Linked DNA regions of Caenorhabditis elegans. The protein of the gene in region 1 interacts with the protein of each later gene in a pairwise test. Each region holds a gene or a part of one and is shown in the gene's direction. Other genes may lie near its edges. The genes, in order: C15H9.4, cfz-2, ral-1 and mig-22.

Region 1 (4,832 bases):
TTTTTTATAAATTTTAGGTCAATTCAACACTTGGTAGAGGGAGCCACTACAGATGGAAAAGCCGCAGCCAATTTGGAAAAACTACGTTTATTTCGACAATTTTATATTCTCGTTGTCGTCTACATCTACTGCACGAGGTTTTTTGGCTTCATATTACTCGTGAGTTTTAGAATTATAACAATTAAACATGTACAAAAAAAATTCTTAGCTTCAAGCCAGCGCCAGTGGGAAAAGTGTTGAAACCCCACTTTTGTGGTGCCAAAATTCCAAATATCACAGTACAACTTTATACAATTTTTTTAAATTTTTGATATTTCGTTTCAAAAACTGGTAATTACTCAGGTTTTACTACTTCATTGAAGTGGTCGGTCAAAAAAAAAAACTACCTTTGGATTTTATAGTCTACGTATGTTTCAAACATCGGTTTTTAAACAATGTAAGTATAGATTGGGACAGTGCCAAAAAAAATGGCAAAATCTCAGTAAATGTCACTTTTTGACTATGAATTCAACATTTGTAAAAGATTTACTATGATATTCGGTCTTTTTGGTAACCTAGGAGCGTGTTCTAACAATATCGTCACCGGCTCCTACTCTAATTTTAATCATACATATGTGTGCATAATTATTCCCGTTCAGCACTTAATGCCTGTGAACCTCCAATGGACCATTGTCGCTGCAGTCGAAATGGTTACCTTCGCATTTTTCATCATCGTTGGCTACAAATTCCGGCCTGCCAATTCACACAATTATCTGCTCTTGAACTCGGATTTTGATAGCTATGATGTGGAGACATCGCCGAAAGAAGATAGGAAAGATAAAGAAAACAATGAGCAAGAAATTGATGAGCAGTGAGTCATTCGTTTTATCATCTTTGTGAAAAAATCAAAACCTTGAGTTGAGAAAATCTTGCAGATTCCTGACAAAAGCCTACTCAGATGCCAATGTGTCGAGGAGATTGGTTTCAGATGAATCATCAAACAACCAAACCGACTATCCCCATCAGAAACTTTTGAAGAAACCGTGAGTGGCTTTCAGTATTAATACATAACATTCAATAATAATCTGTATTTGTTCAGTTCTCAAACCTACGAACAATCATTGCTAGATTAATTATAATCCGTTACAACAACAACAAAAACAACAACGAGTTCAGTGCAAACGGAGGGAGGCTTATCAACTCAACCAACCAACTGTTTCGATTATAATACTATTATGGACAGGATGATCATCCAGACTTCTATCGCGTTCTACTCACTATTTTCAAACATTTTGCTTTTCAAATAACATTTCTACCGGTCCTTTCTAGATGCATGATAATGTGTATATAACTATTTTAAGATAATGATGAAAATTGAAACTGATTTTGAAATATGATAAAAACAATTTCAAATTCCATTGCAATATCAATCATTCCTTAGAAAATATTATCATCATTATCTAAAAACTTCAAGATGTATGAACTAAATTTTTTCAAACATATAGGTGAAAGTACACTGGCCAAAGTGTATAAATTCTAGTCTCCGCCTCCTTTTCCCCATCTCTAATCTTTTTTAGTTGTAACATTTAGTCCAATAAATTTCCAGTCGTGTGATGTGATAACTCGAGACTCCCTGTAAAAAAATATTGTTAATTATTTTTCATTCTATTGTGTACTATTTTCTGAACCTTCTGTGTCTTTGTGTGCTCTATGGTCATCTAGTGAATTCAATATCTTATAATTCATTAATGAAAAGAAGATTTTTTTCCTTACTTAAAATCCTTTGTAACATTGATATAACCTCATATTACAACATCTATACAATATTTCATGCAATTCAGAACGACAAACCAACTCTAATGAGGGATCGCCGCATTGGACAGCTGTCCGAGTTAAAAGGACTAGTGGTAAGAGAGGGGTGAACAAGCATGGCGAAAGGGGGTACGCATTATTGCGTGCGCGTGTTTGCGTACTGCGCGTATTAGCCATTGTCTGCCGACCACCCGGAATCCGGCCATTTTCTGTGCACCGCAATAGCCAATACCGCTCGATTATTAGTTTTACGAGCCAATTTGCTCTTTTTATAATCCATCTTAGCTGTTATCGATTTTTTTTCGAGTTTGTATGGTTTTATATGCATTTTTGTTTTGTTATTAATGCTATTATTATTGGGTTAATTGCGCAAAATAGTTTTCCAAAAGTTTTTATGTTGAAATAATAATTTCCTTCTTTATACTCCTTTTCTAATTATCATCATGGTTTTTTCTCTTTTATCTGTCGTTTCCCTCAAATTGCAAGAAAAGTGTTTTCTTTTTAATTTAATCACAAAATGATTATTTTTAAATTATTAAAAACAATATGATTTATGGTTCAATTTCAACATTCACTTGATGTATATCAATTTATATTGATTTTTCGCGTGAAAATATCTCAAAAGAGCTAATTGAAGCGCGGAAACTTGTTTACTGTGTTCTTTTTCTCTGTCTGATTCACCAGACATCACAATGCTCAGTTAGAAGGCAAAAACATTTTTTCCTCTCCTATATGCCTCTCATTGTTTTGGCCGTTTTTGGCCGTGTGGATTACTGTTTTACAAACTGTAGAATAGAATTTTCACACTTTTTTATTTTTCTTGATGTAAAAACTTTGATTTTGAACTGCAATCCGATAGGGGGAGATCTTCATTGAAAAAACGTTTTACCGCACTAGAATGTTCTCATAATTAATCAAACATTAACCAGTTTTAATCAACTCAAAAAAGTGGAACTTTACCCTTTGATAACAACTCCATTTCCGACTATGATGGTCAACGGTGCAATGATAAGAGAAACGTCTCCCCCTGTATATTGACATTTATGTGCTTTTTCAATTTTCCATTGACTACATATAAGACAGTAAGGTGGACAATAGGAAATAGTTTTGCTCTATTTTATGTTTTTGTTCACCACTTCCGTACCTGCAAAAAAGAATTCAGAGCTTGAAACCTTGCCACCTATTACGACCACAGTTTGCGTACAAATGAGTGTGTGTGTCCGTTCGCGTCCGGCCAATCCTCTCTTCGTCGCCTAGCCGTTTTTTCGCGCGCCTCGATCTTGATTTTCCGCGTTCCTGCAGTTTTCTGTGTTTTTCCGAAACTAGGCAAAATCAAAACGCGGCGCTCGATTTCTTTTCCATTTCCTGTTGACTAAGAAAAGAGTGTTTTAGTCAATCTTCCAAAGTGGTTTGATTGACATCGACGCCCCTATTTCACCACCAAAGCGTCTTCTTGCCCCCCGCTTCTTTCTTCCCTCATCTTTCAACCCTTGCCCCATAGATGGATGGCTTTTACATACTTTTGGAATACTTGCACTTCTCCCGCTGCTTGCTCTGTGTAGTTCAAAGTTGTCGAGAAGAACAAAAACTGCAAAAGGCATTTTCTTTTTTTTTTGCTTTTTCGCTTCATAGATCGTCGTCATGAATTATGTTTGGCGCGTTTGAGTGAGGTGTGAGTGCAAAGACCTTGAAAAACATTTCAATCGTTTTTTTCACAGATGAGCAGGTTGCCTATATATCTCCCCTCTCGTCAACTCGCTTTTTGTCACCATTGTTCTTTTGACCATTTTTACCACCTCTAACCTTTCGGGTTGATGTGTATCTCAATACTTTTTACGGTTGCGCCGCATTAGACCCCCGCGTTCGGGAGGAGGCTACCCCACAAGTGTTGACATACTCTTCAACGTTTCTACGTTTAGTTGTGCCCTCAATTTGTTATTTTGATTTCTTTTGGGCAAACATAACTATATTCCTTTTATTTGCCAATTTAATGTTTCAAAAAGTCGATTAATTACGTTCACAGCTCCCTTTACGAAATAGTGATGTGAATTGAAAATTTACTGGAGAATGAACTACTGGGTTTTAAACTTTGTCGTAATAAGTGCAAATAATTAACCGGATTTTTTTCTCAAAATTTGAATACCCGCGCAAATTCTTGCTGAACAAATTTTGTATGTTTTTTTTCCAAAAAACATTTTTTGTAGCAAATGAATTTAATATATTTTTTATAAAATAACCAAATATCATAATAAAACTTTAAAAAAATTTTGAAAATGTTTTTTATTTTGAGTAAAAAAGCTGTGAAAACTCAGTATTTATATATTTTTTCTATTTTTATTTTTTCAAAAATATTTTTTCATCCAGTTTTGTGCTTTGATTATATTCAAAATACTTATATTCAATAATTTCCGCATTGTAGAGATTATAACTTTTTACCGCTTCTGACTCGAAATAAGATTTTGTCCAAAGTTTTTTGATAAGTTCTATTATCATATTTGGTCATCATATATTATAAATCATGTAACTATATAAATATTTTAGGTCATAGCAAAAATGAATAGGAATTTCAAAAAAAAAATAAAAGCAAGTCCTTATTTGTTTTGCATACTTTTTCTAAATTTCTTTCAAGTTTTAGTTTTAATGTTAAAAAGTATAACAAACCGTCTAAAACTAATAATAGAGCGTCTTTACAGTCCAAACAAAATACGTGAAATTGATTTCCCGCCTCTTCAGACTTTTTCAAGCTGAAATATTTCGATCTCAACATTTTTGTTTAAATTTTGTAATAGCACAAAGTTCCAGAGTGCATTCTACATGTTTAACCATTTTTCCCCATTTCCACATTTTTCAATCGATGAAAAATTAATATAATGGCGTCGGATGAGACATACATTCTTTTATTTTCAAAATGTTCAGAAAAAAAGTTCCACTCACACCTCGTGATACAGTGACTCAGCCACTTTGAAATGACCAATTGTTAGAAAACTATTTAGTTGGTGGTTATAATTTACGTTTATATTTTAAATCATTTGACATGTTTC
Region 2 (5,612 bases), on another chromosome or scaffold:
TTTGTATCGGAAAAATTCTAAATTTTTGTATAATTTATCAGTACATTTTTAATTTTTAATCAACTTTTCGTAGAGTCGGAACTTTTTTTCTAGTAGTTTTCAGGATTTGCGATTTTAAAATTAAAATTATTTGAAGGTTGTCTAACATGACCAAACATCAGTAAAAACACTACAAAAAATATAGATTTTTGAAAGATTCCAGTCAGTTTTCGTAAATTGCCAAATTTTTAAAAAATGTGTACCTTTTGGGAAATTTCCACAATTAATAAAAAAAACAATTAAAATATAAAAATTGAAGAAAAATATGCAATTTGTTCCAATTATTTCAGTGCATTAAGAAATTCCAAAAAAATTTTTTAAAAGCTTTTACTGTAATTTTTGGTCATTTTAAAAACACATGCCAATACTCTTTAAAATTTTTTTAAAAAAATAATTTCCGGTCGCATGTTCCGACCCCTACAATGTTTTAATACAAACAAATAAAACAAAATTAAAGTATGAAAATGTAGGGCAAAAAATTTATTTTGATCGATTTCCAAAATTATGAGTTTTTGCCTATTGAGTAATTGTCATTTTTTGCCAGTAAATAAAAAATTTTCAAAAAGTTTTTGAAACGTTTTATCTTAATATTCGGCTATTTTGGCACCAAGTCAGTAGTTTTAACACTTTCCCTACTGGCGCTACTCCACCTATAATAATTTCAGCCCTATCCACATCTCTAACCCATCCTCCATTCCACCTGTTGTTGCTCACAGTGGGGGTCACCTCCTCCTTTTAGCACCTTCCAAAATTTTCCAACTCCTTGCCAGCCACCACTTTGCCCTCCCCTATTTGCACACTCTTCTCTCCTCCCCCTTTCCATCTCCCCCAGCTCATTCATATATATGTACATAACTTCAGTAGTTGTTGGTTGGAGGTGGTAGAGTCAAAACATATCTCCTCTTTCTAGGCTCTTCTTATGCAACCTGACACCCCTTGAATTCCATTCGTGTTCCGTTTGAGACCCCTATGCTTGCACAACTAGGTTACATACCCCAGCACGTAACAAAATTCTCGTATCCTGAGCCTTATTTATTTCTCATTTTCATAAATTTGTATATTCTTTTTTCAGATTTCATCCCAGATCTAAATATAGAGAATTTAGCTAAAAACATATCTAATTTGATAAAGACCTTTCCGATATATCTTGGTTGGATATATTTTTCGAGTGCCTGCAAACACTCTCTCCACATATCCTCCACTATTTCCCGCAAAAAAATCGTTTCCCCTTACTGGTTTTTTGATGCTTTTGATGCTCTGTATGATGAAAAAGTGCTCTTTGGGTATCTCTCTCTCTCTTATATTTTTGATACCGATCCGATAGCTGATCACTGGATGTTAGGTCAAAGCTCTTGTGTGTATTGTGTCATGATAGTAGTAGTACTCGGTAAATAGTGATAAGCGATCACAGTTTTGCTACGTGGATATTGATTTTTTTGTGTTTTAACGGATCATTTTCTCTAAGAACTCCCGTAACTTGACACCGATCCTCCCTCCTCAGGAGGAAGCGCATCCTTTGTACTTTTCCTGTCTTCTTATTCTCCTCCACCTTCAGCTACTTAAATCTCAAATTTCATTTATCTTTTTTTTTGTTTTTCTTTTTGTTCTTTCCTTTTTCTTTATACCTTTTCTAATATCTTTAACTTCAAAATTAACATTTTATTTCTAGATATGCTACTCCGGATCAGCGTGCTGTTCCTATTGCTTGGCTCCTGTGGGGCTCTTTTTGGAAAACGTCAAAAATGTGAGCAAATCACAATTCCTCTATGCAAAGGTATTGGCTACAATATGACATCGTTCCCGAATAGTTATGGACATGAAAAACAGGAAGAAGCCGGATTGGAAGTTCATCAATTTTATCCGCTGGTGGAGGTGAGTTTTTTAAACAATTTTCTATGAGGAAATATTTTTTGCAATAATGAAAAAAACAAAAATTGAATATTGCACCACAAATTGAGAAATTTTGAATTTCGCGCTAAAAATTCGAAAGACACCAAATTTAGAATTTGCGCTAAATTGAAAAAAAAATTAACTTGGCGCTAAAATTTTCGAAAAAAAAATCCGAATATGAATTTCGCGCTGAAAATTTAAATTTTTCAGAATGAGTTTTGCGCCAAATTTTTGAAAAAACTCAACCCTAAATTTTAAATAAAATTGAAATTTTTATATCACACCAAAAATTTAAAAAAATCTGAATTTGAAATTTCCGCCAAAAATTTAAAAATTAAAATTTTAATTTGGCGCTAAAATTTAAACAAGATTATAAATTTAAATTTGTTATATACTAAAAAAATGTGAACCTTAATTTAGTGCCAAAGTTGTTGAAAAAAAATTAGATTTAAATTTTGAGCTAAATTAAATAAAATCCAAATTTAAATTTCGCGCTCAAAATTTGCAAAAACGCAAAATTGAATTAGGCTCTAAATTACGACAAATTCACAATTTTTTTCGCAAAAATCAAGAAAAAAGTAAATTTGAAAAACTTACCTTCTTCCAAAAATCAAAAAAAAATTTATATTTCCAGGTCGGTTGTTTCCAACATCTCAAATTCTTCCTCTGCACAATGTACACCCCGATCTGCCAGGAAAACTACGACAAACCAATTCTCCCGTGCATGGAACTTTGTGTGGAGGCACGCAGCAAGTGCAGTCCAATAATGGCCAAGTACGGATTCAGATGGCCCGAGACACTGTCTTGCGAGGCGCTGCCAAAGATGTCGGATCAGATGTCGACTGGGAACATCTGTGCAGCTCCACCAGATACACCAAAGAAGCAGCACAAGGGGCATCATCATAAGAATCAGAACCAGAATCAAAATCAAAATCATAACTATAGTCCAGATGGCCCAGAAGTCGGAATTTCCAAGATCGACAATGAAGTAATAGCCGGTCCCAGCGAGTGTCAGTGCACTTGTAACCAACCGTTCCAGTTTGTGGCATCTGAAAAGTCCAAAGTTGGAAATGTAACAAATTGCGCCTACTCATGCCATTCCCCAGCGTTGGCCGAGAGTCATAGCCTGGTGAGCAACTGGATGGCGTTCTGGAGCATCACATGCTGCGTGCTAGCCTCCTTCACATTCCTCACATTCCTTATCGAGACCGATCGATTCCAATACCCCGAACGTCCGATCTTCATGTTGGCATTCTGTCAGCTCATGGTTGCCGTCGGATTCATGATTCGATATTTCGTGGGCCACGAGGAGATCGCATGCGACTCGATGAGGATTAAGGGGGCTGATGATAACTCTGGATCCTTGTGCTTCGTCGTTTTCCTGCTCACCTATTTCTTCGGAATGGCTGCCTCGGTTTGGTGGGTGATCCTTTCGCTAACCTGGGTGCTGTCGGCCGCTTCAAAGTGGTCCCCCGAAGCGATTTCCTCGTTCTCATTCCATTTCCACGTGGTCGGATGGTGCCTTCCCGCTATTCAAACTGTATTGGTAATAGTTTTTAATGCGATCGATGGTGATCCGATAACTGGAATCTGCTACGTGGGAAATACTGATCTACAATTCCAACGAATCTTTGTGCTTTTCCCATTGCTCGTATATTTCATCGTTGGAGTTTTGTTCTTGGTAATCGGATTCTGCAATTTGTGGAGTATCAGAAACGAAGTACAAAAGCAACATCCTTCACTGGAGAGTGCCCATAAAATCACGCAGTTGATGAGCAAAATCGGGATTTTCTCATTGCTCTACACAATTCCATCGTTATTGATTATCTGTGTTCTATTCTACGAGCAGAATCATCGATCATTATGGGAGCAATCGCAGTTGTGCTCATGCTCGCCAAAGCAAACTATCGGTGAGTTTTTTTTTAAACTATAACAATTTTTGATCTAAATTTCCCAGTAAACATTTTTTTCACATTAAAAAATTTCAGTTGCTCGCTAAAATTGTTTTTAGAAAATTAAAAAACGAGTTTTCTAAAAATTTTCCCAAAAATTTGTTTAATTCCACCAAACATTTTTTCTCAAAAATTCAAATTTTCCGCAAACATTTTTTTAAAAATTTGATTTTACCGCCAATATTTTATTTCGAAAAAATTGAATTTACCGCCAAAAATATTCTCTGAAATTTAGAATTTCATGATAAAAATTATTCAAAAAGTTTAATTTTTCCGCAAAATTTTGCCTCAAAAATTGTGAATTTCTTTCCACATTTCCTTTTCAAAAATTCGAACTTCCAGCTAAAATTTTTCTCAGAAAAAAATTTAAATTTACTGTCAAAAAGTTTCTCAGAAAATTTGAATTTCCGCCAAATTTTTTTCCTCAAAAAATGTTAAATTAGTGTCAATAATTTTTTTTCAAAAATTTTAAATTTCTCGCCAAATTTTTTTTCTGAAATTTGAACCCCCCCCCCCCCCCCTATTATTCTTCATAAATTTTAAATTTTCAGGCGACTCCTCACTGATCATCTCCCTTATCAAAACTTGCTGTATGTGCATTTTGGGATGGACGTCCGGATTTTGGGTGTGCAGCACCAAAACTCTATCGTCGTGGAAAAATGCTATTTGCTGTTTGGGTAAGTTGAATCTAGCTTGAGTTTAAACAAGTTTTATTAATTTAATAATTTTAGGTTCCTCCCGATCTTTACCCAAATACCAACCGGCAGACATACTTTACGCTAAATCTGACATGTCATCCTCACAATTCTACAACACAAGTCTCCGACACAACCATCTTTACGGAGGCATTCCTGACAAGCTGTAGTGCTCAAGAAATGCATATTTAATATTTGTGATCCCCGCACATCTACCTCTTCAGGACCAACTTTCCACAATACTTGTAGTCGTTAAAATTAGTTTTTTCTCATGAGCTTTTACCTCTTCTTTCTCACCATCATCATCCCATTGATCTCAAGTTCCCGGCATTCTTTCTCAGTTTTTTTAAAAGAAAAGTTTTTGCAAATAATTTTAATATCACAAATTTAATAACTAAAAACAATGTTTTTGTAATCTTATTAGAGTGTTGTTTTTTGAATACTGCCTGTTCCTCTTGTCGAGCTTTCGGAATGTACATACCTAATAAATATTATTTTAATTGATGATTTTTTTGTTGAAAACATTTACGGTATATTAGAAGATTATTTCATGAATATTGTCAGTCAAGACACTTGTGTTCGATTGAAATTCACTTTAAATGGCAGAAAAACGACCGTCATGACCGAATAAACTGTTAAAAAGTTTTTAACATTTTTTTTGAATTTTGCCTATATCAAAATGTGGCCAAACTGAATTTAAATTCCCACGCAAATGAGTGACGTCATTTTTTATATTTTCGCGTTTTCTGGCTAAAATCATGATTTTTCTGGATTTTTTGTTCTAAATTTAATACATGTTTGTAAATTTTCAGACACTTTTCCAAAGAAAAAACATACAAATCATTTACTATATATAAAGCGCGTGTCCTTCTGTCCCTATGTAGTTTGATCTTTGATCTTTGGTCTTTGAACTCTGTAGTCTGTAGTTGGAAGAGGTATTGGGTTGGAAGTTGGTGATGGATAATGTCAAGGTACTGTAGTGGTACTGTAGGAGTACTGTAGGTATACGGTAGGGTTACTGTAGTTTAGGAAAAAT
Region 3 (7,760 bases), on another chromosome or scaffold:
ATGAAAAATATCAAATTTTATCGATTTTCCAAGATTTTCGAAAATTTCAAACTTTTCCTTTAAAAAATTCGGAAAATTTGCTGAAAATCTACTTTCATCAAGAAAAATAGTCTAAAACTCATAATTTCCACAATAAAATTCAAATTCCCGCCAAACAATCCGCCCGTGCCGCCCTTATTAGCGGTAGAGCGCGTTTTCACCGCAGTTATCCGATTTTTAACGAAACATCGATATTTTCTTTTAATTTTCACTGTTGTTTATCATTTTTCACAACATAATAGCTTATAACACCGAAAAATCATTGAAATATTTTGGAAAATTCAAATTCCCGCGCTCCGCCGAGCAAATTGGCTATAGAGCGCGTTTGCAACAATTCCAAATTTTTTCTGTCATTTTATTGAAAAAATGTAGTTTTGCGGCATTTTAAATGTTAAAAGCAGGAAAATCCCCGAATTTAAAAAGTAATTTTAAATTCCCGCCAGCCAACAGTGCGGCGGTGGGGCGCACTTTCAATTTGGTTTTTCAAACGTTGAAAAAAACCCGCCAAAATGGGTGTTATTTTGAAGGACTCGGTGAGCTGAGTATGAATTTGAGCAGAAAATTTTTAAAAACAAATTATTTGAAAAAAAAATTCCGAAAAAAAGTTTGAAAAGAAGTTCAAAAAAAACTTTTTTTTGAATTTTTTTTTCGAAATTTCAAAAATTTTTTCCCAAAAAAAAAAGTTTCTTCTAATTTATTACTCCCTTAAACTGCCTAATTCATCAAAACTACCAAGTTATAATAAGAAAAAAAGAGTCTTGACCCTCATTTTCCTCCGATAATTGGAGTCCTTTTACTATGCCAAGGTCTTTTCTTTTCTGGAGAAGAACAATAAAAATAGAATTTATTTGGAAAATGTTTTGGGAACACTTTTCGTGATGAAAAAAAAAAATTATTTTATGGGAAAAAACGACATTTTGAGCAAAAAATAGCAGGTTTTTTTGGTAATTTTTGAATTTTTTTTTTGAAAATTTGAATTAATTGAGGCCAAAATCCAGGAAAAACAATGAGAAACTTGGAAAAATCGTTTTTTATTCAATTGTCACTCAAAAATTCAAATTCCCGCGGGCCTCCGCGCCGTTTAGCGATAGAGCACATTTTCATTGTCGCTGGTGTGCGGTAGGGCGCGTTTTCCACTAAATGTTTAATTTTCAAGTAAATCTACCGCAATTTGACCGGAAAAATCAGAAAAAAAATTGAAAACTCGTTAAACCGCGTTGAAATTCAAATTCCCGCCGACCAAGTGTGCGGTAGGGCGCGTTTTACGCAAAATTTCAAATTTTCGAGTTATTCAGCCGATATCAGGGTTATTTTGCAGCTTACAGTGAGGGGAATTCGATAAAAACCAGAACAAATTAGAAAAAATCGATAATCGACTTTAAAAAATCGATAAACTCAAGTTCCCACCTCCCCGGTGTGCGGTAGGGCGCGTTTACCGCAAAATTTTGAATTTTCGAGTAAACCAGCCGATATGGGGGTCATTTTGAAGCTCTCAGTAGGGCAAATTCAAAAAAACCTGGAAAAAATCGATATTTGCAAGAAAAATTATCGATTTTTTCAAAAATTTCGATACTTTTTTCACAGTTTTTTTGTTAAAATCCCCTCCTCTATCACCGGCAGACAGTACTAAAACAAATAACATTTCATATTGTTCTGCGTCTCTGCCTTTTCCGCCTTTTTGTCTTATTATGCATAATTGTGTAGCCGGGAGAGCGAGGCGGTGCCTCACCAAAACAGTCAAAAAGTCTGCGTCTCCACGGTTTTCTACACTATTTCTCACCCTCACTTTTCCCGTCAGCGTGTGAATAGAAAATGAGGCACTAGGCACATACGCTCTTCTGGTTGCTATTGGACACCTTCTTCCGACCCGAAAATCCGAAAATTTCGCAACATTTTTTTTTGCGAAATTTTTTATTCTTTTTCCTGAAAAACCTCGAGAAATCCCCCGTAATTTTCCTATAGTGGAAAATTTTATATTTTCTCGTTAAAAAAAATGGATAAGGTGTCCCATGTGCTCCGAAATGGGTGGAACTGGATAAAGCTTAAATTCTTGGCTCTTTGGCACTTTTTATTCCGCCGGAAGAGTGATGAACCCGAGTTTTATGATCCGGAAGGTAATATTTTGTTTTTCCGTGGTGAAAAGTTGGTTTAAATGGCAGAAATCCAGGAAAAAGTGAGGAAATTTGAGGCAAACGCGCTCTAATGAGAAATTGGCGCTGGGCGGCGGGAATTTGAATTTTTTAGCAGAAATTTGAGGGAAAATGGGGTTTAGAGCAGTTTTCATTGATATAAATAAGTTTCCGGTAGAAATTTTGAAAATTTTTTAAATTTTTAACCGAAATTTCGAGTTTTTAAATTTTCGGCATTTTTTCTGTTTTTTTTTATTTTAAGAAGGAAATCATTTATTTTTTATGTAATCCCTATAAAAATTACAGAAAAATTCAGTTTTTGAGCAGATTTTTAATAAAAATATGTAAAAACCCTGTGAAAAATAAAAAGAAAAAAAGTTTGCGCGTAAGATCTGGTGTTTTCAAGATTTTCAGTCATTTTTAAAAGGAAATCTCAATTTTTCTTGCATTTTTCACATGAAAATCAATATATTCAACTGATTTTCACAATTTTTTAGCTTAAAACTGACAATTTTCACTTTAAAATCTACTTAAAACCTGCAAAATCCTGCTTTCTACCGTACCCCTCAACTGTCGTAAAATTCGGTGTTCGCAGAGTACACAACTTTCAGAATGGAGGGTTACGGTGGTTTTTGGTCATTTTTTGATGAATTTTCTGCGGGAAAACCGGTTTTTTGGTGGTTTTTGTTGTTGAGAATCTGAAAATTTGCATAAATTTCCATTTTTAACGCTAAATTTTGCAATTTCCCGGATATTTTCTAGCCAAAAATTGAGAAATTCCCCAATTTTCGTCGATTTCCCCCGGGTTTTCCCCCTAAAACTCGAATTTTCAGCCATGGCATCGAAAAAAGCAAGCGGAACACTGCCGCCGCAACAACAAGTCGTCCATAAAGTGAGTTTTTGCCCTGAAAATTCGAAAAAATTGAATTTTTTCCCAAAAAAACTGAAAAAATCAATAAAATTGCAGGTTATTATGGTCGGAACCGGAGGTGTCGGAAAATCGGCTCTCACTTTGCAGTTCATGTATGATGAGGTGCGGAATTTGGCGAAAAACGAGAAAAGAACAATTTTTTCTGAAAAATTCCGAAAAAAACCTAAAAATCGATGTTTCAAGAAGAAAACACCGGAAATTCCGATTTTTCCGAAGAATCTAGACGAAAATCCCGGAATTTTTGCAAATTTGCATGCAAAGACTCTAAAAACGTCGTTTTTCTCAAATTTTATGTTAAAAATCCGAAGTTTTGCGATGTTCCCGAATTTTATGTCGAAAAATCTCAATTTGTACCTTTTTTAGGCCGAATTTTGTGCATTTTTTGCCAAAAACCCCAAAAAAATTCGAGTTTTGGGTATTTTACGTCAGAAAGCCTGAAAAATTCCATTTTCCCCGAATTTTATGTCAAAAAATCCAAAAATAATCCGATTTTCGAGTTTTTTTCACTCAAAAGCTCTAAAAATGCCAATTTTCCCGAATTTTAAGGCAAAAAAATCCCAATTTTGCAAATTTAATGTAAAAAATTCCGATATTTCCGTTTTCTACTTTAAATCACTGAAAAATTCCAATTTTTTGCGAGTTTTATGTCAAAAAACCCCAAAAAATCTTCATTTTTCCATTTTTCTACCCAAAAACTATGAAAAATTCTGATTTTACCGAATTTTATGTCGAAAAATCACAAAAATTCCACTTTTCACGTTTTTTATGAAAAAAAAATCCAATTTTTGGGAATTTTATGCCAAAAAATTCAAAATTTTGCCTTTTTCATATCCAAAACCCCCGAAAAATTCCAATTTTCCAAAAATTTTATTAAAAAAATACCTATTTTCGCCTTTTTTATGTCGAAAAACCCCCAAAAAATTCCAATTTTCACGAATTTTATGTCAAAAAATCCCAATTTTTTCATTTTTCTACCAAAAATACGTTGAAAAGTTCTGATTTTCCCGAATTTTATGTCAAAAAACCCCAAAAATCACAATTTTCACTCAAAAATTCCAATTTTCTCGGATTTTTTAATCTAAAAACCGAATTTATCCTTTTTTTTTGCAGTTTGTGGAGGAATATGAGCCAACAAAAGCGGATTCGTATCGTAAAAAAGTGGTTTTAGACGGTGAAGAATGCTCAATTGATATTCTTGATACGGCTGGACAAGAAGATTATTCTGCAATTCGGTAAGCACTGGAAATTGGCGAAAAATCGCTGAAAAATCGAAAAAATCACGAAATTTGGATGTTTTTCATCAAATTTTAGAGAAAAATTGCCAAAAATCGGCTTATTTTTCGTTATTTTCAGCAAAAGTCGTCATTTTAAGCCGATTTTTTGGGATTTTCCGGAAAAATCGGAGGTTTTGAGCCGGTTTTTGAACTTTTTTTCCCACCAAAGACTAAATTTTAAGGAATTTTTTGTTTTTTCACGCGAAAAGAGCCAAAAAATCGTAATTTTAACTGATTTTTCCCCAATTTTTTCAATTTTTCAGTGATAATTACTATCGAAGTGGTGAGGGATTTATTTGTGTCTTTTCGATTTTGGATATGGAATCATTTGAGGCTACAAACGAGTTTCGGTAAGTTTTTTCGACATTTTGACTGGAAAAATGAAGAAAAATTGATTTTTTCACCCTAAAACATTGAAATTTTCAGTTTTTTCTCGAAAAATTGGACAAAAATCGATAATTTTTAATGAATTTTCAGTTTTTTTTTTTGGCTGAAATTTGACAAAAAAAGGAGGAATTTCAAGAAAATAGGGCAATTTTCGATAATTTCCACCTAAAAATTCCTAATTTTGACCGATTTTAAGCGAAAAATTTGAAAAATACACCAAATTTCTGCTAATTTTGCCATTTTCGAGCAAAAAAGTAATGAAAAATGCGAATTTTGGTCACTTTTAACTGGAATTTGGTTGAAAATAGCAAAATTTCGACCAAAAAAGTCCTGAAAATGCGAAAAAATTGATTTTTGGTCAGTTTTAACCCGAATTCCATGAAATTTTCAATAAAAATGTAAAAATTTGCTCGTTTTTAGCAAAAAAAGATTCCAAACTGAATAAAACACTTTTTCGTGCTAAAAAATGCCAAAAAAATGTCAGATTTTCGATGAATTTTACTGAAAATATGCAAATTTCTGAAATTTTCTGGCAAAAACTCCAATTTTGGTTCATTTTAACCCTAAATTTACTAAATTTTGACTAAAAACTGTCAATTTTTGCCTATTTTAGACCGAAAAACCCCGATTTCGGGCATTTTTCACCCATATTTCGTAAAATTTTCACTCAAAAATGTCCAAATTTGCCTATTTTCGGTCAAAAAACTCGGATTTTGGCCCATCTTAACCCTAAACTCACGAAATTTTCGCTTAAAAATGTCTAAATTTGCACATTTTTGTCTTTCAAAATTAGTAAAAACTCGAAAAATTGTCAATTTTTACCCAATTTTCATGAAATTTCTCCTCAAAACTTTCAAAATTGCGTATTTTTGTTTAAAAAAACTCGTAATTTGGTCCATTTTAAGCCTAAACTTACAAAATTTCGACTTAAAAATGTCAAATTAAGCCTATCTTAGGCCGAAAAACTTGAAAAATGGTCAATTTTAACGCGAATTTTGTGAAATTTTCACTAAAAACGGCCAAAATTTGCCTATTTTCGGTTGAAAAAACTCTAAATTTCAAGAAAATTTCACTTTTTCACACAAAAATCTCAAAATTCGCCTATTTTAGACCGAAAAACTTTTTAAAAAGGTCGGTTTTAACCCAATTTTCATGAAAACTTTCAAATTTTACGCTCTATAGACCCGAAAACTCGGATTTTAGTCAATTTTCACCCCAAATTTGCCAAATTTTCATTAAAAACTTACAAAATTTGCCTATTTTTGTTCAAAAAACTAGGATTTTGGTCCATTTTCACCCAAATTTCATCAAATTTTCACTAAAAACTTTCAAATTTTGCCTATTTTAGGCCGAAAAACCCCGATTTTGGGCAATTTTCACCCAAATTTCATGAAATTTTCACTCAAAAATGTCAAATTTTGCCTATTTTAAGCCGAAAAACTTGAAAAATGGGAAATTTTAACCCGAATTTTGTGAAATTTTCACTAAAAACGGCCAAAATTTGCCTATTTTAGGCCGAAAAGCTTCGATTTTTAGACAATTTAGGCCCAAAACCCCCGTTATTTCTTGCAGCGAACAAATTCTTCGTGTCAAAAATTCGGATTCATCAGTTCCAATTGTATTGGTTGGAAATAAGGGTGATATGCGTGATCAACGTGTTGTATCAGCTGAATTATGTCGACAACGTGCTGAACAATGGGGATGTCATTATGTTGAGACATCGGCTAAAAGACGTGAAAATGTTGATAAGGTATTGGGAAGAGATTTTAGGCTGAAAATTTGGAAAATTCGGCGAATTTCAGCCGGAAAATTGGAAAAATTGGAGAAAATAGTCAAAATTGGCGGAATTTTGAGCTGAAAAGCGAAAAATTCAAATTTTTGACACAAATGTCTCCAATTTTCAGCAGGAAATAAGTTTTCGGCTGAAAATCTGTGAAATTCAGCGATTTTTGAGCTAAAAAATCCTAAAACTTTGATTTTTTCAGTTAAAAAATCATAAAATTCCACTTTAAAGTTGAAAAATCAAGAAATTCGATTTTTTCCATCTAAACAATCATAAAATTTCAAGTTTTCATCAAAAAATTCATAAAAATTCGATCTTTTCGTGTAAAAAATAACAAAAAAAAACATATTTAATTTTCACATGAAAAATCAAAAAATGGCCTTTTTTTAGTTAAAAAACAATTTTTTTTGCTGATTTTAAGAGCTTTCATGACAAATTCCCTGAAAATTTTAAAAATTTCACTTTCTGAGCCCGGAAAATTCATTTTGAGCTAATAATTGTGCTCATTTTGGAGAATTTCAATTTTTCAGTCAAAAAAATATAAAAAATTTCGATTTTTTCAGTTAAAAACTCAAAAAATTCAATTTTTCAGCTAAAAACCTACTAAAATTTTAATTTTTCCTGTGAAAAAAAAGGTACGGGAGGATTTTAGGCTGAAAATTTGGAAAATTCGGCGAATTTCAGCCGGAAAATTGGAAACATCCAACGTTTTTAGGCTAAAAATCGAGAAAATTGGAGAAAATAGTGGAATTTTGAGTTGAATAGTGAAAAATTCGTCGTTTTTAGATTAAAAATTCGAATTTTTAATGAAAATTTGTGAAAAATTTCAAAATTGTATGGATTTTGTGCAATTTTTAGCCAAAAATAGTCAATTTACTCCGTTTTTTTTTCACTAAAAATTTCCGAAATATGCCATTTTCCAGTTTTTTTTATCTAAAAATCCCCAAAATTTCAATTTTGTAAAGTCAAAAAAATCGATTTTTAGTTTGGAAAATCGCAAAATTTCGTTTTTTTTCAGTTAAAAACTCTAAAATTTCAATTTTTAGTCCAAAAAATTATAAAATTTCAATTTTTTAGTTCAAAAAATCATAAAATTTCAATTTTTAGTCCAAAAAATTTCAATTTTTTAGTCCAAAAATCGTAAAATTTCAATTTTCCGGTGAAAAATTATGAATTTACAATTTTTCCCAGTAAAAACTCTCATTAAAAAAATCGTT
Region 4 (6,099 bases), on another chromosome or scaffold:
TTCTCTCTAGCTGCTCGAGCCAATGGTTGAACAGTTTGAGCGATGATGTAGGTGTTGCGTTGTGTACGGTTTCCTTGTTCGTCCTTCTGTCCTCCAGAATAATGAAGTCTCCCCTGAACCATAAGACGGGATCCTTTCTTGATGGTTTTTGAAAGGATTTCGGCTTGCTTTCCGAAAACTGAAACGGCGTGACGTTCAGTTTGATCGAGAGTAGTTCCGTCTTGCTGCTTGAAGTACGAGTTGGTGATGATATTGAAGATGAGGTAAGGTTTTCCGTTCCTTCCAGTCTTGTACAATGGATCCAAGGCGACTCCTCCGACTAGTTCCACTTTATTCACACTGAAATAGTGATAATAAATAAATTTTGAATCGATATGATCTGAATTCAAAATTTGTTTTTTTATGCTTTCAAAATTGAAATTGTATCTTTCACAGCTATTTTACAACAATATTCGAACGACTTTTTAATAAGTAATTTTTATTGTCAATCGTTGCGTTTGTGCTTTTGAAAATTGTGACATTTTATTTTTTCTAGCAGGAACTTTGATACAAATTATTAATCTCCTAGTTCAGAAAAATGCAAGTTTAACATTTGTGTAAAACTCATATCATACCTGTATGCATGCCGTCTTTGTTCTGGGTTATGATGTTGTGGTTTTTCAGCGAACAAGTCATCAACCTGAAACAGACAAAAATTTCATAATTGCACAATTCGCTGTTTTTCAACTTACCTCTTGCTTGCTCGGTTGCTCAGCAGCCATTTTGGATGTCAATGACATACAGCGGACGGTAGACTTGGAGATCGTGGAAAGTGAACGAAGCATTTTCTATAATTTTGGTTTATCGATTGAGCAAAATATGAGTTATTTTTAAAAATTCAATATTAAATGTTCAACGAAAAGATTTAAACATAGTATATACATTTTACAAATAAAAACGGGCTCAAAACAACTGTTAAATATGGAAAAGCAAAAATAAAATTGCATTTTTTGTGGGCGGAGTTGAATCGCGCACTGTTGCAAGCCTGGCACGCGATTTCCGCAAACACGCCGCACAGTTTACTCAGTGTTTCTCTCGCTTTTCTCTTGTCATCGGTTTATTTTTATTTTTTAAGTTTCACTGCAAAAAACCACTTTATTTCTACAATTTTATTGATTCAAACCAATAAAATTTATCAAAATTCCGTTAAATTCAAAATCTTATTTCGGATTTTCCTATATTTGATTGTTATTAGATGTTCATTCTAAAACTACTAAAAAGATATTCATAATTCCAATGTATATGTTATTTTAATTATTCCCACGAATTATCTGTCATATTTCGAACTTAATTTCCTAATTCAATTAAAATTGAGATAAAATCTTGAAAATTAAGAAATTAGAAAAACATTCTCAAAATAGCATGTTATTAACGGTTTCACTGTCCTCGAACATTAAATTTTCTAAAATGACCTTAGTTAGTCAGGTCAAGTACAGAACATAATGTCTGCGTCTCTTTCAACTCAAGACTATCTCTTCAAACACCTTCTTACAACGTCGGCGTCGATCACAGCCTCTTCTCGTTTTTTTTGTCTTCCGTCTGCATCGCATACCGAAGAAGGTTGTCGCTCCACTCACATGTCCTGCAATCATTTTACGAGCATTGTCACACACATCTTCTATGACGACTGTTTTGCATTCATTCATAAACCCGTATTGTCTTTTCACGCTTTTCTTTGATCAGTTAACCTGTGTTCTGCTCATTCATGCTCAAACATCACTATTTGCTCTTGTTCACTTCACTTTCTTATTGTAAATTTTCAGAGCTTCTTCACAAGAAAACTTCGTTATTGGAATTGTATCAAGGCGTATTGCTGACTGTTTGGTACGTTTTTCACCGGCTTTGAAAAAAAGTTTAATAATTCTCTATTCCTTTTTTAGAATCGAAGAATGGTCGGCGGCGGTCGAACAGGCATACACTTGCTTCTTGGATTCCTTATAGGTGCCGCTCTCGCGCTCTTCTTCTTTTCATCCACACCAAGTATAGACTTGACCAGCTCATTGGCTGCATTTACATCATGTCAGAATCAAGAAACAGAAACGAATGTTCTTGAACCATCGGCACTGGAGAAAGGGCGAGTATATAAAGATTTATCTGAGCATTGGATTGTGAGTAGCTTTAAAAAAAACACAAAATTTCATGAAAGAATCAAATTTAGGTTCACCAAGACGATATGCCAGCGCCTCCTCATAATCAAGACGCTACTCCAAAGGTTACAAGAACTCGATTTGCAGCCACTGAACTCGGTACACGTGAACGAGTTATGGCCGCAGTGATGGCTGAGTCTGCATTGGCTCTTTCTATTAATGCAACTCTTGGGCGCCATGTTCCACGTGTACATTTGTTTGCTGACTCTTCAAGAATCGACAATGACTTGGCCCAGTTAACCAATTTGAGTCCATATAAACTAAACGGACAAAAGACGCATTCGATGGTTTTGGGTCTCCTTTTCAATATGGTTAGTTGAGTTGTTCAAAAATGTTTTTTTATGTAGTTGTCAACTACTCGTATTTCAAAAAAAAAAGTCATAAAACTATTTCAGAATCAATTATAATTGTCAATTGAATGTTTTTCAGTAAGTTTACCCCATGTTGTAAAGTCGATTTTGGTGTAAAAATTCCCCTGTTCAGAGTATCTCAATTGTTCTTTTTGGCTTCTTCCTGTCGGAGTTGCATTTCCTGATTAAAAATAAAATGTTTTCAGACAGTCCACAACAACTATGACTGGTTTCTACTTGCCAAAGATTCGACGTATATCAACCCATTCGTTTTGCTCAGAATGATTGATACGGTATTTTATCCAGTAATTGTTTTTGTAAAATAGTTGTTAATTGTCAGATGAATTGGAATGAACCAGTTGTGATGGGTGAAGCAGCTGAAGATGGAAGTGGACGATGCCGATTGGATACTGGAATGTTGCTCAGTCAGCCAGCAATGCATGCTCTGATGAAGTAAGCTTTAAATCAAAATTTTCACATTATGATAAACTGAAAAGTGTTTTAAACTGAATATTTTCAGCAATCGGAATGCTTGCAACAATTTCGCACTGGCAGCCGATGACGATCAACTCGCATTTGAAAAGTGCATTCAAATCGCAACAAATTTGACATGTAAGCCGCTTCATCAAGGAGTTCGTTATGAAGTTTGGCGAGGAGCCGAGAGAGCTGATTCGCCAGCTGCTCATGACTCGATTGAGGACTGGAAACATTCACCAGCATTTAAGAGAGCTCTTGCTGTGCCAAGATTACTTTCTGATGCAGATGCATCTGCACTTCATGATTATTTCGTTCGAGTTGAAATGCAAAGAGCTGATCGAGAAATTATCAAAATGGAAGCTGAACTTTCTCGTCTGGCTGAGCAAGAAGCTCGTGAAACAGGAGAAGCTATCAGCTGGCCACCAGCACTTCCACCGTATGCAAAACCACCAAATCGGTATCAAGTTTCGACTTGGGAGTACTTTACGATGACTGAACTCTTTCGAAGTGAACCTAATCAAAATGTTCGACGTCTTGAAGGAAAAGATTTCGATGATGTTGCTGAAGTTGTGGTGGCTGCTCGGCAGCAAGTTGAATCAGAAGAACCAGAGCTTGAATTTGTTCAATTGAGAAATGGATATCGAGTTTTTGATCCACGGAGAGGAATGGATTATATGGTTGATTTGACATATCGAAAGACTGTCAATGAAATGCCTGAAGTTGATAATCGATTTGAAAGTGATAATGAGGTAAATAAAAGTTCTAGAATATCTAAATCTAAATCTGAAACAGATTTTCTGAAAGTTTATAAATTTGTTTACAATCTCAGGCTGCACATGAGGAAAGTCTCAAAGAGATTGTTGTGGAAAGAAGAGTGCACGTTAGTCGAATGATTGCAAGTACGCAGCTTATGAACCAGGCACCATATGTGAAAGAAGACACAGATGTCACTGTCGTTATTCCAGTTGCTAGTGAAAAAGACGTTAGTTTTATAAAATTGAAAACCACAAAGAGAAGGGATTGTCGAAAAATGTTTATAAAATTTCGATTTTTCAAAAATAAAAAAAATGTTTTAACAAAAACTCAATTTTAAAAAAAATTGTTTATGTTGATAGAAAAATCATGAGAAAAATATACTTTTATTATTTTTAAAAAATATCCAAAATTTAAAGCTATTTTCGAAATATTTTAGTGTAAAATCGAAAATCAACATCTTTGATTAGAACTTATATATTGTTGAACATACAAAAAGTGTTTTTCTAAAGGTTTTTCAAAAAAAAATTGGTTCCCATTTTTAATTGTTTTGATATAAACAAATTGAAAATATGTATATATTGTAGGTTCTCCCAGCCCGGAAACTTCTTGCCAGACAAGCTCGCCTCTGTCTCTTCCCCACAGAAGAAGCCCGTAAAACTCGAATGGTTGTAGCCGTTTTCCCATTAATCGAATCTCGTTCAGTGACTGCTATCACTAATGATATGGAAGAATTAAAGCGACGATGCAAGCGATCACTTTTGGAAACAGATGTTCTTCCAGTACATCCTGCTGTTAGTACAGAAGGAAAGGGAACAGCTGCTGCTGCTGCGTTGGATGATGCTGTGGATCGATACGGAGCCAATACAATCTATCTTCTACTTTCTCCACATGCAGATGTTCAAAAAGAGTTCTTTGATCGAGCTCGTATCAATACGATTAAACATTATCAAGTTTTCTTCCCAGTTCCATTTGTTGAATATCATCCGACAATCTCTGGAATGGAAATGACAGAAAAAGAAGAAAAAGAGACGCCGACAGAACAAGCTCGTGAAGCTGCTTTATCACGATTAAGAGATGGAGTTGAACCAAAAAGGAAAAGAACATTGATTGTACAAAAAGAACATGGACGATTTGATTCTCAAGATTTCTCTTGTTTCGCCGTTTATGGTGTGGATTATGTGACAGCAAGAGCTAAATTCGGTCAAAATGAGAGACGGAACGACTTGATTTCTGCGTTCTTGGGACAAGATTCTATACATGTACTTAGGGCTGTTGAGCCAACTCTCCGAATTCGGTAAGATCGCCAAATTTTGTGTTGTTCCAGTGTTATTAATTAATGAATTACTTACAGATATCACAAAAGAAGCTGTGACATGGAAAGCATCGACACCGAAGATATCGCTCGTTGCCTGGACAGTAAAAAGGAAAACGTGGCGGCGAAGGATCAGTTGGCAAAATTGTTATTCCACGAAAAATGAACACCCTTCTACTCCCAACTTGTCCATGATATTTCTGCAAATACGGTTTCCTATTTTCCCTTTCTCACCTTCCTATTGCACTACAATTTTCACTTTGCCCTCTTGCTCCGAGCATAACATTTTCTTTTCATGTGAATACGATAATCCCGGCGGTTTTTCATTAAATAATTTTTAGCCCGCTTGCCACAACCCGATGCTTTATCCCCGTCGTCAAATAATTCATTTTTTACAGTTTATGTTAAATTGTGCCACATTTTTTAATTCACTAAACAAAGTACATACTATCTCGACCCGTCCACTTTTTCTATAATTTATGAATATCTGTGATTTTTAATCATAAATTTTTGTTTTGATTTTCTTGAAGAACAGTGCTTGTCAAAAAAAATCAAATTTCGCAGGCCTTGCAACATGATTTTAAAACAAAATATTTTGTTTAAAAGGAAGTTGGGCTATTCTTTTTTAAATTGTCGCAAAACTTAATATTTTACTACATTTTCTTTTTTTTTCTTTTTAAGGACATTTCGCATTAAAATCTCAAATTTTCCTTTGAAAGAACGGAATTATAATTATTATTTGAAAATTTGAGGTGGATACGGTAATTTTTAAAAGACGTGGTGAGACCCGCGCGCCCAAGATGTAGATTGCGTCTTTGATGGAAACTACGGTAAAGATGTTTTCGAAATCGATTTTTCTTTTCGGAAATTCTCCATTTTAAGTTTAACTCTTCAATTTATTATGTTTTTTTTTAATTTTCTATGTTCATTTCTGCCCGCAGAACGACAACGTGCATAATATGCACTGTAAAAGTGAGAAAAAACCTCTGGAATGATAAGAAAACCATTTTGCTCTCCT

Evidence for each region.
Region 2: the proteins of C15H9.4 (region 1) and cfz-2 interact in a two-hybrid assay, tested with the Caenorhabditis elegans proteins (one large-scale study listed by BioGRID).
Region 3: the proteins of C15H9.4 (region 1) and ral-1 interact in a two-hybrid assay, tested with the Caenorhabditis elegans proteins (one large-scale study listed by BioGRID).
Region 4: the proteins of C15H9.4 (region 1) and mig-22 interact in a two-hybrid assay, tested with the Caenorhabditis elegans proteins (one large-scale study listed by BioGRID).

What each region holds. Positions count from the first base shown.
Region 1 is NC_003284.9:6,095,827-6,100,658, forward strand, and holds the start of C15H9.4 (Transmembrane and coiled-coil domains protein 2), read left to right. Parts: upstream 1-1,816; 5' UTR 1,817-1,886; intron 1,887-4,832. Other genes in the region: C15H9.5 (GOST seven transmembrane domain-containing protein), read left to right, coding at 18-159, 639-850, 915-1,022, 1,079-1,112.
Region 2 is NC_003283.11:3,440,974-3,446,585, reverse strand, and holds cfz-2 (Frizzled-2), read left to right. Parts: upstream 1-1,708; 5' UTR 1,709-1,710; coding exon 1,711-1,911; intron 1,912-2,563; coding exon 2,564-3,839; intron 3,840-4,432; coding exon 4,433-4,558; intron 4,559-4,612; coding exon 4,613-4,746; 3' UTR 4,747-5,082; downstream 5,083-5,612. UniProt on the Caenorhabditis elegans protein: Receptor for Wnt proteins.
Region 3 is NC_003281.10:3,309,565-3,317,324, forward strand, and holds the start of ral-1 (small monomeric GTPase), read left to right. Parts: upstream 1-1,745; 5' UTR 1,746-2,032; coding exon 2,033-2,153; intron 2,154-3,001; coding exon 3,002-3,060; intron 3,061-3,135; coding exon 3,136-3,201; intron 3,202-4,209; coding exon 4,210-4,331; intron 4,332-4,636; coding exon 4,637-4,723; intron 4,724-6,332; coding exon 6,333-6,510; intron 6,511-7,760.
Region 4 is NC_003281.10:8,763,039-8,769,137, reverse strand, and holds mig-22 (Chondroitin sulfate synthase mig-22), read left to right. Parts: upstream 1-1,802; 5' UTR 1,803-1,863; intron 1,864-1,919; 5' UTR 1,920-1,928; coding exon 1,929-2,147; intron 2,148-2,197; coding exon 2,198-2,497; intron 2,498-2,581; exon of another isoform or gene 2,582-2,614; intron 2,615-2,742; coding exon 2,743-2,829; intron 2,830-2,876; coding exon 2,877-2,989; intron 2,990-3,056; coding exon 3,057-3,762; intron 3,763-3,842; coding exon 3,843-3,995; intron 3,996-4,353; coding exon 4,354-5,063; intron 5,064-5,120; coding exon 5,121-5,247; 3' UTR 5,248-5,599; downstream 5,600-6,099. Other genes in the region: mtss-1 (Single-stranded DNA-binding protein, mitochondrial), read right to left, coding at 1-339, 615-679, 732-824. UniProt on the Caenorhabditis elegans protein: Has both beta-1,3-glucuronic acid and beta-1,4-N-acetylgalactosamine transferase activity. Transfers glucuronic acid (GlcUA) from UDP-GlcUA and N-acetylgalactosamine (GalNAc) from UDP-GalNAc to the non-reducing end of the elongating chondroitin polymer.